Drosophila melanogaster: one gene and its partners. The protein of the gene in region 1 interacts with the protein of each later gene in a biochemical or structural test. Each region holds a gene or a part of one and is shown in the gene's direction. Other genes may lie near its edges.

What was found.
Region 2: of the proteins of png (region 1) and Mmp2, one has a biochemical effect on the other in vitro, tested with the Drosophila melanogaster proteins (one study listed by BioGRID).
Region 3: of the proteins of png (region 1) and me31B, one has a biochemical effect on the other in vitro, tested with the Drosophila melanogaster proteins (one study listed by BioGRID).
Region 4: of the proteins of png (region 1) and Rabex-5, one has a biochemical effect on the other in vitro, tested with the Drosophila melanogaster proteins (one study listed by BioGRID).

The regions. Positions count from the first base shown.
Region 1 is NC_004354.4:1,355,949-1,359,423, reverse strand, and holds png (pan gu), read left to right. Parts: upstream 1-1,822; 5' UTR 1,823-1,890; coding exon 1,891-2,766; 3' UTR 2,767-2,936; downstream 2,937-3,475. Other genes in the region: CG11417 (uncharacterized protein), read right to left, coding at 3,014-3,475.
Region 2 is NT_033778.4:9,680,843-9,685,858, reverse strand, and holds the start of Mmp2 (matrix metalloproteinase 2), read left to right. Parts: upstream 1-2,000; 5' UTR 2,001-2,926; coding exon 2,927-3,076; intron 3,077-5,016. UniProt on the Drosophila melanogaster protein: Has metalloproteinase activity. Proteolytically cleaves the PGRP-LC receptor; involved in gut-fat body innate immunological communication (GFIC)-mediated activation of the imd/Relish signal transduction pathway.
Region 3 is NT_033779.5:10,237,339-10,242,694, forward strand, and holds me31B (maternal expression at 31B), read left to right. Parts: upstream 1-2,002; 5' UTR 2,003-2,197; coding exon 2,198-2,247; intron 2,248-2,600; exon of another isoform or gene 2,601-2,746; intron 2,747-3,153; coding exon 3,154-3,253; intron 3,254-3,341; coding exon 3,342-3,720; intron 3,721-3,794; coding exon 3,795-4,442; intron 4,443-4,507; coding exon 4,508-4,710; 3' UTR 4,711-4,834; downstream 4,835-5,356. Other genes in the region: mthl15 (methuselah-like 15), read right to left, coding at 1-507; chico, read right to left, coding at 5,299-5,356. UniProt on the Drosophila melanogaster protein: ATP-dependent RNA helicase which is a core component of a variety of ribonucleoprotein complexes (RNPs) that play critical roles in translational repression and mRNA decapping during embryogenesis, oogenesis, neurogenesis and neurotransmission.
Region 4 is NT_037436.4:1,294,331-1,299,005, forward strand, and holds Rabex-5 (Rabaptin-5-associated exchange factor for Rab5), read left to right. Parts: upstream 1-1,582; 5' UTR 1,583-1,695; coding exon 1,696-1,849; intron 1,850-1,934; coding exon 1,935-2,138; intron 2,139-2,192; coding exon 2,193-2,505; intron 2,506-2,578; coding exon 2,579-3,998; 3' UTR 3,999-4,167; downstream 4,168-4,675. Other genes in the region: scf (supercoiling factor), read left to right, coding at 4,396-4,675.

The DNA.
Region 1 (3,475 bases):
GAACAATATGGAATAATTATTTATTTTAGTAAATAATTACTATAGTCAATAATTGTTAGTTGTGCAAACTGCACTTTACACTTTGTGTTTAACTTTCACTATACTGTTGTAGTTTTTAGAACTTGCTATTCGTAGCTTGAAAGAAACACGTCTCCACCCGAAGACTGTGGAATGCCGAACGCGCGCTTTAATGCTATCTAAAATTGACTACGGACTGCCAATCTTCGGTTGGTGTGCTAAATCACACTTAAAAAAGCTACAAGTCCCATATCACGGAGCGGTCCGTCGCGCCATTCACGCATTTCCCACATCTCCAGTAGCGTGCACATTGGCAGAATCGGGTCTCCCGAGTATCCAATCACGCGTAGAAGAAACTACATTGATGCTTATCCCGAAGCTGTACACCACGTCAAACTGCCTGCTAACCAAAGACTTCGGAGCCATATTTAAACAAAAACGGAAATTCAAGTGCATATCCACCCTAAGACGTTGCGCCAACTACATCAAGCTACTTGACCTTCCCCTGCCTAAGCCCAGGAGGCCCTTCAAATCGCCAGCACTTTGGGGTTCCAAACAGCCTAACATAAACCTTCAAATATACAATGCTGCCAAAAAGGATACAGGTCGCCTAGAATACCAAAAACGTTTTATGAGCGCACAAGAAGATCTTGGTGTGAAAAACTGGATCTACACCGATGGTTCTAAAGTCACCGGCGCAACTACTTTTGCGGTTGTTGACTCTAACCGTAAAATAATTGCAGGAGGTAGGCTTCCGTCCTACAACTCCATATTTACAGCCGAAGCTTTCGCCATTCTCAAAGCATGCCAATTCGCTTCCAAAAACGCTGGAAAATCTGTTATCTGCACAGACAGCCTCTCCTCTCTTTCCGCTATACGCAACTGGAACCATAATGACCCCACAACACAAGAAGTTAGGCACATTCTAAGTTCTCACCCAAAAAAAATCACCTTACTCTGGGTTCCCAGTCATCAAGGTATTCATGGGAATGAACTTGCTGACAAAGCCGCCCAAGAGATGAGGCTTACACCATCAATCCTGTTCACTCCGTTTAACTCCAAGGACCTAAAAAGTCGAATCAAGTTATACCTCAAAGAAAAGAAACTCTCCGAATGGGCACTCTTCATGCACAGGTACCAGTCTATCAATCCGAATTGCATCATGTTCAAGCCACCAACGAACGTACATAAACGGGAATGCGCGACCTTTATCCGTCTACGCATCGGGCACACCCAATCCACACATCAACACTTACTGATGAGATCGGCGCGACCAACATGCCAACTATGCGGGGACGAGCTCACCGTTGACCATATTCTCAACGCCTGCAGTCAATTGCACTCAATTAGATCTCACTTATTTGGTACACATAGTCTCTCGAATTGTTTAAGTATCCCATCCTGTGAAAATATCTCAAAAATTTACAAATTTGTCCAAAAAGCTAAGTTTATTATATAAAGCAATTAACCCATAAGTCTCGAGTCGAAGGCCCCCGTAGCTAGTACTCATTAAATTTAATTAGGTTTAGTATTGTATACTATATTTAATTTTGTTAAATAAAATAAATAAAAATTTAGGATAGTCATACTTTTCACATGGATGGACTTTTTGAATGGGGTTAGTTCACGATGCGTTAGTTTGATTAATTAACCAGACTCTAATAACTTACTTTCATTGAGCACTGTTGCTGCTGGCCAGATGAGCAATTTTCATATGGGGTTTCCGAAGTTCCGAGTTTTCGGCTTTTTCCGATGGAACTGTGCATCTCTTGTTTCGAAGCAATCGATAGATGGCGCGCTTGCGCTTTTGCTGGCTAACTGTACATCAAGGCGGGATCGCGGATTACGCTTTCGGAACTCTGCGCACTCGAGATGGAACTGGGTGACTCTAAGCTGCGTGCGGTAAGGGTGCTGGGCCAGGGCACCTTTGGCCGGGTCTTCCTCTGCCACCAAAACGAGGTGCGCGGACAGCCGGAGAGGAAGGTGTGCGTGAAGCGGATCATCGTCCGGAATCCGAAGACAGAGTTGGGATTGATCAAGGAGGAGGTGTACATCATCTCGCAGCTGCGCCACCCGCACATCGTTGAGTTCCTGCGCTCCTTTAGCCACGCGGGCACTGTGAACATCGTGATGGAGTACGTGCCCAACGGCACCTTGAGGGATGTCATCCAGCAGCTGCCGTCAGGCACCGGGGGAGTCAATCAGGAGCGGCTGATGGGCTACTTCCGCGACATGGTAGTGGGACTCGAGTACCTGCACATCCGCTGCGTCATCCACCGAGACATCAAGCCCGAGAACATGCTCCTCGACGCCAACGACCGCGTCAAGATCGCCGACTTTGGGATCGCGAACGTTCATGCGCCCAGCACTCAACTGCAGGCGGGCATGGGCACGCCCATGTACATGGCCCCGGAGGCGATGTCCAGCCAGGGCAAGGTGGATTTCAAGTCGGACGTGTGGTCACTGGGGCTAGTCCTCTACGAGCTGTGCCTCGGACGCAGCCCCTTCGCCGCGTTTCTCGACAAGAACGCCACCCCTGCCCTACTGCACACCGTAGTCCAGGCGCTGGTCCGCCCCCGGCTCGACTGCCAGCTCATCCGGCGTCTCTACGATCCCGTGTGGGCGCAAGTTTGCGAGCTGATGGTCGTTTACGAGCAGGAGCGCCGCATCTGCCTACCAGACATCTTCCACCTCGACGCCGGCATGACTGTGACCCTCTACAAGCATTACTTCAGCTACAGCTACTAACGGAAGCCAATGGTCAGCTCACCAGCACGAGGAGACCTCAACAAATATTTCATTGTACTTAAGAACTAGGCTAGCTTAAGCGATAAATTAAGGTGTGTGCTGTGCTTTGTGTGCGCCTGTGCTTTTGCCAGGGGATCTGTCAGCTATAAACAGTATATAATGTATATTCCAAAACAGTCTCGCTCAATGTCATTAACGTAGTCTTTAATTTACATTTGTTCACCTATTGTACAGTAACATTAATCCTCTAAAGCTTCTGGCCCTGCTGCTGCAGCTGGATCTTACGCTTCAGACTCTTTACCAGGGCGTTCTGCTCCAGCTGCTGCTTACTCCTCTTGGGGGCTACCTGCTCATCCCCATCCGCATCGCCGTTTGCAGCGCCGCCCTCCCCCTGCTCCTTTCTGCGCTTTAACTTCTCGCCGATGATCTGCTGCATGCCCTTGGTGGGCTTGTAATGGGAGTGGGTGGGATCGATGTTGTACTCGTGCGACTTGTAAACGGCACTGAAGCGATTATCATTCAGGTTTACCTGGAAGTCGTCGTCCAGCTTCTCCGCATTCTGCGGCTGATTTTTCGATTTCTTTAACTTCTGACGACGCTTTCGCTTTGAACCGCTCGCTTCTTGCTCCTCCTTCTTGAGGATTTTGGTCAGACTGAAGTGTTGCTTCTCGTCGCGCCCGTCGCCATCGTCCAGCAGTAGCTCAAGCTC
Region 2 (5,016 bases), on another chromosome or scaffold:
ACCCGCTGATCTTAAATCGGCGACTGTTTCGATACTCCCGACCAGCTCAAGGGGTATGGAAGTACTTAAGCTAACGATAAAGATACGGCTATCAGCAGTTGTAGCGAAAGCCAGTAAACAAGAAAGATAGTGCAATGATGCAGTGAATCATTGAAGAGTTACTAACCTCTCGGAACGCTCACACCGAGCCGCACTATCTTGTGTTTCCTTCCGCTGGAAGCTTCCGATAACTGCTTTCTCGCTCCTGACCATGGGTCTGCCTTTTCTATCAAAACTACCATTGAGTAATAGGTGTAACAACATCGAACTGATAAGACGATTTTATATATATTGATGTCGCAACTTCGAAAATTACTCACCTTTCGATGGCCCGACCATGTATCATCAGTAATTTTGTCATTTGTACTTTATTTGGGTCAGCCGCAGATCAAAAATCGGTTTTGCATTCAATTTCGTGGCCAATTAGCACTTGAACCCAAGACCTCAGTCTAAGTTCAGAAATTGCCGGCAAGTTGTTTCGGATATCTGTGTGTACATACAGTGGTGCACGCCACTAAACGATCATGTTTCGAAATGAAATACATTTGAATGTGATAATACCAAAATATGATTTTACTATCTCTTACCCCGTGGGGGTTATATATTTATGATAAACTTGCATTTATCGCAGAACATATACATTTTCAAAACAATCATTTATAGATTTTATAGCATTTCGACTCATCAAGGGACTAGATCTACTGCGGTTCTAGATTGGCTATGATTAAGTGACAGTAAATTGAGTTTAAGTGGACATTGATATTGGATATATCAAGGCTGCTTATGCAAGAGCATTATCAATGACTATTTGGGATTTCCAAAAGATTGTGAATGGAAAAAGATAATCATCCTTTCGAATACTACGTTGAGTAACCGGCAGCGGCTAACATTCGTATTTTGATTCATTCAAAAATATAACCGGCTTGGTGAATAATACTCTGCAGTATATGATAACAAGTACCCAAGAATATATGGGCTTTTTTTTTTTTGATCTGGGTTTTTTATTTTCGAGGGTGTGGGTGTATTCATACTTATTCATAAATATTAGAAATCAAATGTAGCTAACTCATATCGATTCATTATTTTTTAGATTTTAGTTTCCTTTTTCATGGAACTACTCGATCAATCAATATTTAACGCCATCTGCCTTGTGTTTATTGTGCAATAGGCAAATGTCCCAACTTGGCGGAAACGTGTTAGACTGACACTTTTTAGGTAGCCAAAATCGAAGAGTATAAAGTAGCCAAAAAATATTAATATCGAAGAGCAGAGAGAAATATTAATATACACTTAAGAAAAGAACCTACCCAAAGTCACACAGACCAACATAATTTGAAATATTTGAAGCTATTATACTATTTAAAAAAAATTTTGTTTATTATTGTTTTACAATAAAATACCAAAAATCAAATCATAAGAGTATATGGTATAAAATTATAATGAATGTAGCAATAATTTATATACTGCTACCGATTTAAGTTTAAATTAAATTAAATTAATTAAATTACTTTTTTATGAGTCAAATATAATAACAAAGTGGAAAATACATAAATGTCTTTGACCACGGTGTTTGTACTTTCAGTTTTAATATAATTCTTTCATATGTAAAAAGGAAATTTTAAATACATTGGATTTCAGATCTCTAAATAAAAAACTATACAAATACGGATGAACAAAGTTATAGGCTCAGAATTTAAAAAGATTATTACGAAAAAAAAAATGTTTTTTGCTGCCTAATTTAAAATAATTTTTTAAAATCCTTTAGAGCCTCTTGGAATTCGTGCTTTTTCTTTCTGTGCCCCCTTAAGAGCGTGAGACAAGAGCGAGTTTCTTCTACTCTTACGTATTTTCATAAATCAACCGCGATCGCTGGCATATCCGCCCAAATGAAGAGAAGCTACTCTGTATTTTTGTGCTCTTTGTGCCCGCCTCTTCAAGTCGCTTCACGTCGAGGCAAGTCAGCAGTTCAGTCACATTTAGACATCCGCGCGGTAAACCCGCTTTCGGCGGTATAACGAGATTTTTTATTTCGAATTCGACAGAAACAAATAAATGTAAAAAGGAGAAATTGAGATTTATGCTTGCACAAAACACGCGAATAAAAGAGCACCGCCCACTTCTAGCGTTTTCTTTTGTGGGGTGAACAAAGCGACGTAACGGTTGACAGGAATCGGGTAACGCGAATCGGGAATCGGTGTTGGTATCGGGCATATACTAAAAAACGGATGAACAAGGAAAGTCTTTCCTTTGTGCAGCCACTGCGTGCTAATTAATTGTGTTTTTGTGGCCAAGTGGCATTCTATAGTGTGCATTCTATACACACCAAATTTAAATTCTATCCAGCCCAACCCAACTCAACGCCCCCAGCTCCTTGTTTTCCCACCATTCGTATGCGTCATATGTAAAAGAGCGCAAAAGGGCGGAAGGCACAGAGAGAAAGGAAAGCCAAGGAAAGAAGCAGTGGCCACAACAAAGCGGCAAGCACAAAACGCCAGAACAAGAAGCGCCAAACGGAAAAACGGGAATACCCCCGCCCAATCCCCACCGCTCCCCGCCACAACCCATCGCTCCTTCCGTTGTTTTTGTTGCTGCTGCAGCTGTATTTATGCTGCCGGGTATTCGTGTGAGTGCCGCCAATGCGCATGTGTGTCTGTGTCAACCCCCGCGGCCGAGGCGACAACAATAGCAAAAACAACAACAGCAGCGAAACTAAAACAAAAGTGAAAAGTTCAATTCCCAGCTTAGCACTACGAATTGTTAGTCCACCACATCGGTTAATTAAGCCTCGAACATAGAATAAAGATAAATACACAGTTTTGTTCCTACTGATCGAGGAATAGTTTCGTGTCCAAGTGTTTTCGTTGCGCGAGCGAAAGAGAGCGGCGAAATGTTTTCCAAATATGTTCTCGCCACCCTGCTCGCACTCTTTGCGCAATCCATGTGCATCCAGGAGCTGTCCCTCCCACCCGAAGGATCTCACTCCACCGCTGCGACCAGGTCCAAGAAGGCAAAAACCGCTATCTCCGAGGATATAATGGTAAGGCTCCAAATTTGAAAACTTCGATTTTTCCGAACCCAGCTTTTTTAAGCTCTATAAGATGATATATCGTATCGATCAAGTTAGTAAATTTGGGTGTTTATACAAAGTGCATCGACTGAAATGAAAATAATTCCCCAAAATAAAACGCAATGCAATCAATCATCCTACATATATCTGATGGTAAATGCTTAAGCACTGTTTGACCCAATTGCCATTTCAATAAAAATTCATCAATAATTGACATTTGAATCCCTAGAGCTGTTGGAAATCGCACAATGTTTGCAATAAAAATTGTAAAAGCAATTATTGAATGTGACATAAATAATTAAACAATGTAAATAGGAAGTTAAAGAGCAAGAAGGTAAATTAGAAAGGGGACAAAGGAAAACAAAATTAGCCTACAGTAGGCGCATTTTCATTCCGGCGGCTCAGATACTCAATCCGTATCTCCGCATTTGGTAGCAGACAGTAAATCGAGAGGCGGGTTAAGTACAATCGAGATAGACGGATCTGAAGGCCCCCAGCACACATATCCCCCCCTCCCCCTCACTCCACGATGCAGATGCTGCTGTGGCTGCTCGAGCCTATGACCTCAAAATCCCAAAATGCTCTACATATGCATAGACAGCACGAGACGTAGTTATATATCTAACTGTAAGTTAGGAAGGTATAATTTACTTTTAAATATTTGCATGTTGTGTGCTTAGTAGATTAATCTGTTTCCGTAAAATGTTTAAACAAAGGTCCAGTATCAACCTGTGTTAAGTAACTTCAAAAACAACTTGATTGGCATTTCTGGAAACCGTGATATAAGCGAAATGGTAAAGGATGATGACTTATAATACATGGAAAAAAAGAGATTCCAAGTTTCTCATTAACTTCTGATTTTTATTACGCGGAAGAATACACCAGTATGCAACTCACTTCACTGAACGAACGAAGTCCGCCTTACTCGTTCGAAACGCACTGTACATGTGTGTGCATACAGACGCCACGAGATGAGGGCCCCCAGTAGTCTCGGGTATGGCCACTGCAGTTCGTAGTGCACAATGCACGCTTATTGTTTGGGGGCATGCGTCCTATGGCTCTTAATGCATTTGTGGGTCTGCCTCCATCTTTACCCCCAGCCCCCTCCACCCACAACCCTTACTACATCGCCGCTGCCCATGTGGAGCCCTGGCCACTAGGACATTTCCTCGCGAATTTCTGCAGTTAATGAGAGCGGGCGCATTTTTTTTAATCAGAATAACAAAATATGAGCAATTTACCCATTATGCTCGCCTTTTGTTTTTGTTGCTCGTGTGCCAAGGAGTCGCGGTGGCATTCTTTAAGGCGCGCCAGGACATTGAACCCGCGCCACTGACTCACCAGCTCCAGACATGCGTGCCGGCCAGGATGAACTATTAATGTACAGCCAGCCATTGATGCGATTCTCCTCGTGTGGCTGGGCCAAATCTTGGCGTTTATTAAAGTTCGAAAGCCGTAATTAAAGTTCTGAAGCGTTTGCGGAAAATATAAGAACTGGAACTAAGTAGGACGCACATAAGCTCTGTACCACAGATGGTAGGCACCGAAGATTGTATGGATTTTCTCATGAATGTATAAACAACAGAGCTCTAAAATCGCATGCTGCAATAAATGTTCATGCTGAAAATATATGTCGAATATTATTTTAGAATTTCTAGTGGGATCCTTGGATTCTACTAAATTTTTAAATAATATAATATAAATATTATATTACCTATAGTTTGAATACTCCTAGAGTAATGAATAAGATTGAGAGAGTATCCCTGAAACAGTACTTGGGTCGAGGTCTTGAACGACTTGCATATTGTTTATTTAGTAAGGATACCGCTTCCCAGCTGCCCGTTGGATGAGCGAACATATGCCATATAGAGATAGGTATATGCATATGCATATATGGAGCACTATATATA
Region 3 (5,356 bases), on another chromosome or scaffold:
AGTATAAACAAAGAAATCGCTTTCGCCCGGTTTGCATGTATTATTTTCGGAAACGTAAATAAATCCCTGTGGGCAGCACTTGTTTACAAATCCAACACTTTGAGACGGCACATTCTTTTCGAATTCACAAGATAAAACGATGAGACGTCTGTTTAATAGTCCAATGCATGAGTTATTTCGCAAATTCAAGGTGCGTTCACCTAAATCACTTATACTCAGACTGCTAAAGTTCTGGCACTTTGATAGTGCGAATTGGCTGTGGCCTGAGTCATTGATAGCCTTTTCTAATCCAAGGCCCATTGGTGGTATCAATTTGCCTATCACTTGGGCAAGATCCGGAAGTTCACTGATGTTGCTTGCGGCGGAAGCGCACTGGTATATTTCCGCATTGTCCACAGTGCGGCGATATTTGAATAGTAACGAATTCGCGGCACAGCATAACTGAACGGCGAGCACTTTTGAAATGCCACTTAAAATCAGGCACACTAAACTTAGTCCGATGTTCATTGTTTACGGCTCGTCTATTATACCCAATGACCGATTTGCGAGCTTGTGTAATGTTTGTATCTTTTCTTAGAACGGACTTTTCATATCTTATCATTGAGGAATCGTTATCGGACCATATACACTTCGAACCGCATGCAGTTGCCGGATTTAACGAACTGAACTGAAGTCTTCGCGATTCCTTCGCGAGCAAATGCGAATGTTTATGGGTAAACATTTGGCCCGCACACAGACGGACATAGCTCGACGTATATAGGCAATACATTTATGGATTCTCGTAAGCCTATACAAATAAGTTATGCCCCATGGAGTGCCTAACACTTAGCATGCTGGGGGTGCTCACGGATGGTATCAATACACCCAAATGGCCGCATATTTATGTAGGTACTTTGTGGTTCTAACACATATCTATCTATCTACACAATTCAATTGATGACTTTGTACACTAGCTTCTGACGGCAAGACAAATGCGACTGCTCGTGTTAACATTGTGCAAAGCTCATTAAGGGGAAATTGATAAGGTACACAGATACACACATCCATACACACTTATGTACAGAGGTGGGTGAGGTAAGCAATGGATCCTTTAATCGTCTAAGTACTCTACGCACCATAAATCACCTGGAAAATGTCAACGATACGCAAGTATTTATCTTTTCAATTAACTTAAGTCTAGTTATTAGCTGACTTTTTTCCATATATTCTTTCATGACACAAACTAAAATCGCAAACATAAATGTCATTTTTATAATATACAAATCTCCTCTATCGCAAGTACTATTTATTTATTCTAATACAAATATATTAATTTTGTCATTCTCCAATCGGAATAAGTATAAATAAAGTATAAATCCATTGGTTAAGAAAAGAAAAATCAAAAAAATAATTTTTATTCATTTTAATGTTATTAGTTAGTTTCTAATGTGATCTTTCATTAAATATTTAATACTTATAAATTATAAATGAAAAGATATTCATAAAAATCGCAGACAATCAAATTAAAGCTTAACTCAGATGTTCTTCTTTCATACACGTTCGAAATCTTCCTGTCGTTCCTAAGTCCCGTTCACACAGGCAGCTGCTTCATCTGAAATGCAGTTCATATATTGTTTTTGTTATAATTAAACGGTGATTTTAACCCGGCCGGAGTGGAGTTGCTCATTGGAAATGCTTTTCTAAATTAATTTAAATTTAAAATAACGGCAACAGCAGCTAACACAACAAAAATGTGAAATATTTGGGTATACATATACACCTACAGGATTTATAAGAGGAAAATTTAAATGCCGATTTTTTTTAAATAAAATAATTCTTGCCTAAATATGTGGACTAATTTTAAAACGTTCATTTGTTTTTGTTAAGCCATGTATAAATTTCTACAATATTATTGTTCGTCATTTTGAACTTGCAAAATTTGTTTCATTCCAACGTTCCAAATCAGGGCAATACATATTTATTATCTACACCGAGTGAAAATATTTTCCGAGTCATCAGAAATTTGTATTATTGATAGCATGTTGTAAGGCGACTCGACTATTTTGAAGCTAAGTGAAATTTTATATTGAAACGCAAAGTTGAATACGTGAGCAGTATATGAAAATCGGTGAATACAGTGACTTCATTAGTCAGCCGAAAGCAAAAGAGAGCGAAATACATTTTTTAAACAAACTAAACTAAAATTTCACTGTGAATAATGATGACTGAAAAGTTAAATTCTGGGCACACTAATTTAACAAGCAAGGGGTTTGTATATTTTATATTTATTTATATTTTTTTTTTCACAAGAGGACCCAAGCTTGGTGTCCCAACAAACATAATATGCATGCGTATTCATCAGCCCATATTTATGATTAGATGCCGAAAAGACAAGCCGTTTTATAGTTTAGAACGTCAATTTTTGCAAATGATTGAGCATGTAAAAGCCGAAGATCTGTATTTTAGCAACATCATGTAGTTAGGCTGTTTTCACTCAACAACTAAACCTGCAGAACATGTTATCTAATGAAAAAAACCAAACAATGTGATTCCCGTATTTATATTACTTTATTGTATGTAGTAGCGGAACATGTGTACATATGTATAAAAGAGTTATCTACATATGTAGTTGCACTCGTGGACTTATTTACCGCTAAAAATGTTGCTAAATATAATTGCACTGACTTAAATCATTTAGAAACTAACACTGTATTTAGGTAAAACTTCTATTGGGTGATTCTCAACTTTTGAGATCAGAACAAAACAGGTATTTTTTTTTTGCATTTCAGCGCCATGAACAGTTATTCGTGGGCTGCCATTTTAAAATTTGGAGTAGCGTTTCTTTTTCTCTCCTCCATAAATGTGCGAAAGAGAAAAAATGTTGAGTTCAATCGCTTTTAGATTGTTCAGTTCTTAAATATTCAAGACATTATCCATCTTTGTTTACGATTTAAAATCAATATTAACATTATTATTAATATACATTAATACATGGCTTAGACTTTAGCTTAAAATGCACTTTACATAAAAGAACTCATTTACAAAATTTTAAAAATCAAAAATTTTTAATATATATATATGCTTATATATGCCATCCATATATATATGGATGTGAATGACCTACATATATCGTAATACTTTAATTACCATTTTATTTTTTTTCTTTTCATCCAGGATTATAAATGATCTTCAAATTGCTGGAAACACAAGTGACGATATGGGCTGGAAATCAAAGCTGAAGCTGCCGCCAAAGGACAACCGATTCAAAACAACTGTGAGTTTGCCGACAAATCAATCGGAATTTATACAATTTAAAGCACAAACAAACTAACAAATAAATGTATTGCCATTGCCTTACTCAGGATGTGACCGATACGCGAGGCAATGAATTCGAGGAGTTTTGCCTTAAAAGAGAACTGCTTATGGGTATATTCGAGAAGGGATGGGAGCGCCCTTCGCCAATTCAGGAAGCAGCTATTCCTATAGCATTAAGTGGAAAAGATGTGCTGGCTCGGGCCAAGAACGGCACAGGCAAGACAGGAGCCTACTGCATCCCAGTTTTAGAACAAATCGACCCAACCAAGGACTACATTCAGGCACTTGTGATGGTCCCCACCCGAGAGTTGGCGCTACAAACCTCACAGATATGTATTGAGCTGGCGAAACATCTTGATATCCGGGTAATGGTCACAACGGGAGGTACCATTCTAAAGGATGACATTCTTCGTATTTATCAAAAAGGTGGGTTTTGATGATAGTTAAATAACCTAATATCGGTTTAATTGCAACTTTCTAAATTTTCCCTACGCCTGCAGTACAATTAATTATTGCCACTCCCGGACGAATATTAGATCTGATGGATAAGAAAGTTGCCGATATGTCGCATTGCAGAATATTAGTTTTGGATGAGGCCGATAAGCTATTGTCGCTTGATTTTCAAGGCATGCTGGATCATGTTATACTAAAGTTACCAAAGGATCCACAGATCTTGCTATTTTCCGCAACATTTCCACTAACAGTCAAGAATTTCATGGAGAAGCATTTACGCGAGCCTTACGAGATCAACCTGATGGAGGAGCTAACACTGAAGGGTGTCACTCAGTACTATGCATTCGTACAGGAGCGCCAGAAAGTACACTGCTTGAATACGCTCTTTTCGAAGCTGCAGATCAATCAGTCTATCATATTCTGCAATTCCACGCAACGTGTCGAGCTATTGGCCAAAAAGATCACAGAGCTTGGATATTGCTGTTACTATATACACGCTAAGATGGCCCAGGCACACAGAAATCGAGTATTCCACGATTTCCGCCAAGGACTCTGTCGCAATCTGGTGTGCTCCGACCTGTTCACCCGTGGTATCGACGTGCAGGCCGTGAATGTAGTAATCAATTTCGATTTCCCACGAATGGCAGAGACATACTTGCATCGAATTGGTCGCTCAGGACGTTTCGGTCATTTGGGTGAGTTTAATTGCATTCTCATATTATAGTTTAGCCTATTTACAATCTTCGTTTCTCATTTTAAGGTATTGCTATTAATCTGATAACCTACGAGGATCGGTTTGATCTGCATCGGATTGAAAAAGAACTTGGAACCGAAATAAAGCCTATTCCGAAGGTCATAGACCCCGCCCTTTATGTCGCAAACGTTGGCGCATCCGTTGGCGATACTTGCAACAACAGTGATCTGAATAATTCTGCGAACGAGGAGGGCAACGTTAGCAAATAAAACGGATATGCCCTGTGTAACGCTAGTATCTGAAATAGAGTCTAAATCGTGGAATCAATAAAAACAGATGAACTATTTCAGAAATCAAAATTGTATTAAATAAATGGAAAGCAATTCAATTTTTAAATGCGCTCTTAAGATAACTGAAATGACTGGTCTATAAAAAAAAGGCTCGTTCACTTTGTGGGTTTTGGTGCTGAGAAGTATTAACATTAACTATTGGGGATTTGGTAAGGAAAGTTAGTCGAATGCTATTAAAAGGCAGGCTAAGGTCGTTTAATATCAATCCAGTTTTTAGTAAAGGGTTTAAATCAAATAAAAGGTCTAAAAGTAATTACAGGATTTTCGGACAAGAGAAGTACACTTGGATCAAGCTAAATCCTAGATTTACTTACATGGAAGAATTACCATTGGCAATTACCCGATTTACTAGATTCCAAAAAAAAAGTACAAAGGGATCATTATAATTTAAATAAAATTTATTTATTAGCATCCAAAATTGTAAGCTTTGCTTGTCAGAATATTTACAATAAATGTACAATATTAAACAAATCATATATATAGGATAGGGTCATAAATTTCAAAACTTTACGTATTAAATATGTTCGATGAGGAGGAAGAGGAGTCGGATTGGTCAAAGTCGATT
Region 4 (4,675 bases), on another chromosome or scaffold:
GCGAATTAATCAAGTACTAAACACAGTCGGAAGATTCAACTACCAATTTGATAAAATTAAAAAAAAAAAAGATTATTTTCTTATAAGTATTTAATTACAGCATGTTTGTATAGTTTAAAAGTCATATGTTTCATTTTGTTTCTTCGTTTTGTCAAGAGTTTTGTTTGTATAACTGTATATATGGAAAGTTAAGACATATTCTTTTTGAAACTTACAATTTCTAACTTGCTGTACTTTCTGTTTTATACGCCGAACTTTTGAATACACAGGGTACTCATACATAATTCGAAGACAAAATAAGAACCACAGTCATCAGATCAGCCAAATAATTCCAATTGATCAGCGATTGGAACAAGGAATTTATTGAAGCAAATCGTTAGACTTGAATTTTTTACAAATGCAACTCTTTTGTAGCGAATTGAATACACTCAGATACGAACAAATCAAAAACCAAAGAATGTTTAATCAAAAACCTATAACCAAAACCAAAGTCAGCATAATGTTGAAACACACGCGTTAAAGATAATTACATTGTTAGCTGTAAGAGTTGAACGCATACAAAGCAAAAACAAAAGCCAAAGACATCATAAGTAGTGTTAAATTCCAGTTCAAAACTATACACGAGACTTTTTCGAAACGGTTGAATTGCAAATGGGAAGTGAACGAAAACAAGAACGATCATGTTAAGTATACGTAAACTATCGATAGTAGTTGAGCACGGCAAGGCAAGGTTGCATTTTGATGACAGTAGCGAAATAGTATTAGCAATTTTTAAGACTAATCAAAACACAAACAGAGACAAAATGGTTTTTTCCAAATCTTTTTACTGCTAGACGAGAGAACAAATTTAGAAGAACTAGAGATAAAGTAGAGGTAGTGTTGAACTAGTCGAGTTGTTAGTAGTTGAGTGCATTATTGGATCGTCAATTACGAGGAGAGCTGGACGATGCAAAGGTTTGTTTGCAGATTTAAACTTTTCATTGGGGAACAAGATCGGTAACGTAGCGTAGAGCAGTTAGGACAAAAAACTTTGCAAATTTATAGTCTAGTCTAAGCCATAACTCTGTGTTTTCTGAGCTTTTTCCAATTGCTGTTGTGAACTACTACCATTAGCGACCCTTCCAGAAATGCATTCTTTTTACGTGTATAACCGTCCTAAATGTTACTACTTTATCAACTTGCTATGTCGATATACGTGTGTAACTGGTTTTAAAAATGTTTGTGTGCATCTAAGAATTGAATGTGTGTTGAAATGTTCCCTAGGACACCACGATTTTACTACATGTATTCGATCTAATTGTGCAAATTTCCCTAAGTTGCAGTTTAAATATTTTCTTTACGAATAAAATATGCTAAAATCCAATTTTAGTGGAACATAACTGAATAGTGTTTTAATTGTATGTGGGTTTACAGGTCATATGCGAACTACGTTCTTTTTTATCAAAATTATATTCAAAAGAGGGAAATCCCCCTTGTACGAAGCGAACTAGTTCCATTCGATGGGCGGCTACTTAAAGCCGGCGAACCAGCTCATCTCTAACTTTCTGAGCGATGTCCCACCACTGGATAAAAGACCATCTGGCAACGCTGGCAGCAGTAGAATTATTTATCTCCACAATTCAGTCACGAAAACAATAAGCAACAAAGGGACTCCCACAGATAAGGGAGCTGTATTTTTATAGCCACACCTCCGAGATGTCAACGGCGGCGCGACCTCCGTCTTTGCGGCTGGGCCAGCAGGACCTCAAGTGCCGTTCAGGATGCGGGTTTTACGGAACCCCCCAAAACGAAGGATTGTGCTCGATGTGCTTCCGAGAAAAGTTTAATGATAAGCAGCGGAAGTTGAAGCGTAAGTTGAAGCGTAGGTCCCCAGACAATGCTTGCATATAACTCCAAAGCCGATGAGCGTTGAGTCATGAAGTGGTTCTTTACAGAGACGGGTGGCGAGACGGGTCCTGGATCCTCTTCCTCGGTCGCCACCTTGGATCGCCGATCGCCACAGCATGCGCACCTCCAGGGAAAAGTGGAGCAGCAGGTCAGGAAGCCGTCGGACAAGGAGCAGGACAACTTGGGAACCCTGCAAAAGAAAAAGTTTACCGCTGTGCTGCAAAAAACTCTGCAGGCGGGAGCCCAAAAAAGTAATATTGCATAGCCACACTGCCTTTAAATGCTTATACTTGGATATTCCTTAGTTACCCAACAGCGTGGTCATGTGCCGGATCCCACGGAGGGCCAGTTCCTACTGCAATTGCGGCAACTTCGCATTCCCGACGATGGCAAGCGGAAACTCAAGCTTGAAATCCAGCGTTTGGACAGCGACATCCGCAAGTATATGAACGGAAATGGCGGCAAAAACATCAACGAACTATCAGATTTGGTTCAAAACGCCTACACCAAAGTCTCAGACATTGTGCACAACGATCCCAGCTTCGAGATAGCCACCAACGAGGATCGCGATAGTGCCATTGACTTCTTTGAGAAAGTGGTGATGACGCAGAACCACAAGTGAGTCAAGCGGAACGTTGATATCAGAGGAGTACATATTTTTATCTGGGAAACTCTTTTTTTTTTTTTGCAGATTTCTCTTCAGTCCCTATTTCACTACCGATGAGGACAGTGACGTGAAGGTGCAGAAGCGGATACGCCAGCTGAGCTGGATTACGGCCAAGCATCTGGACTGCAGCATCGACGAGGTCAACTCGGAGGCCAGGGATCTGGTTTACAATGCTATATCCGAGCTGGTGGGCATAGATTCGTACTATTCGCCGCAGGAGAAGCTGCAGTGCACTTGGCGCTGCTGTAGGCACATCTTTGAGCTTCTGAAGCGGGCAACTGGAGGACCCGCCAGTGCGGATGACTTCCTACCCGCCCTAATATTCGTCGTGCTTAAGGCAAATCCAGTGCGACTGCACAGCAACATCAACTTCGTTACGCGCTTCACAAACGCTTCGCGGCTGATGAGCGGCGAGAGTGGCTACTACTTTACCAATCTGTGCTCCGCCATCGCCTTCATAGAGAATCTGAATGGCGAGAGTCTGGGCGTCAGCAGCGAGGAGTTCGAGGCTCTGATGTCCGGACAGCAGCCCTACAGCACGCCCTGGGAAAGTGCCCTGTTGGCCTGCGAGAGCCTTCACCTGATATCCGAGAACATGAAGCGAATGGAGATGCTGCAGAAAAGGAACGCCCTGATAAGCTCTGGAATAACTTCATTTGAAAAAGAGCTTATCGATTTCCAAAGAGAGGTGACGGAACGAGTAGACACCGTGATTGCCAAGGCCCCACTCAACCTGCTGCCCATCAAAACACCCGCTTTTCTGATTGGTCAAGCCAGGGCGCACCTTCTCAACGAAAGCGAGGCTGGTCATTATCAAGCGAATATGCTGCACGGCGGCTCATTGACCTCCCAGTCGCTGACAGCAGCCGGTGGGTTGGTAAAGCCCGCAGCGGCGTCTAAAGAATCTGGATTGTCCCTTAAGGATACCAGCATGAGTTCGATGGGCCGTCTGTCGCCACTTCAGCAGAACGTTCAGCCAGCCGATCACCTCTTCGCCTCTCCAATCTTTAACTACACCGCGTTTGATGCCGTCTCGCTCTTGGAGGAGCCTGTGCCCGATGCGAACACAGACGTACTCATGCTGGGCTCCGAGTTTCAAGGAGGCCTGACCAATATCAACTACGACTTCGACTTGTCGGATCAAAGTGGGGAAAACAGCACTGCGGACGAGTCAAAGCTGAATCTCGACGAATTCGACCCCTTGGCGCAGAAGGGCCTAGTTGCCAAGCCACCGCCGCCTCTGCCGGAGACCAGTCTGCTGGATAGCACAACGGATAGCCTTATAGATAGCGAAGTGCCCGGCACAGCTGTCCTGCTTCCATCCCCTCTGAAGCCCGAGGTGTCCAACTACCGGGGCTTCTCAAACTTCGATATTCCCAGCATCTCGTGCAACACGGGAGACTTTAGTTCTCTGGGACAGGACGGCGCGGATGCTCCCAAATAAACGTTTGTTCACTGGGTCACTGAATCCTGCAGCTGTGTGAATGTAAATAAGTTTAAGTGAAATATTGTAGTTAGCCCAACGCTTCAATTCAAATTTCTGCACATATTTATTTGTACCATATTTAACTAGCTTTACAGAAAGGACGTTTAATAAATGCAATCTAACACATACACAAGTTGTATTGTTTTTTACAATAAACGGTTAACTAAGTTTAATTTCTTTCCCAGGGGTAATTGCATGATTTTCAAAAGTCCCGCCAACTGGGCATCACTTATCCAATAATCTGGCAGCACTAGAAAAGTAACAAGAGAGATTGTTGTTTTCGAAATATCTCAATCACACACGATTTATTCTCAGTTTGCCTGCCGAACCGAACGGACGTGAGCGCTCACGAGAAATGGCTAGAACCCGAATTCAGATGCTGCTACTTGTTGTTGCGCTGACGGCGGTGATAAGTGGAGCAAGTGCCTCCAGCATACCGGAAGAGCTGCCCCACAATCCGCTCGAGCACGACCCCCTGCACCCCAGGCACTTCGACGGGGGCGAGCACAATGCCCAGTTTGACCACGAAGCCTTCTTGGGCCCGGACGAGTCCAAGAAGTTCGACAGCCTGACACCCGAGGAGAGCAGGCGGAGATTGGGCGTCATTGTGGACCGAATCGACGAGAACAAGGACG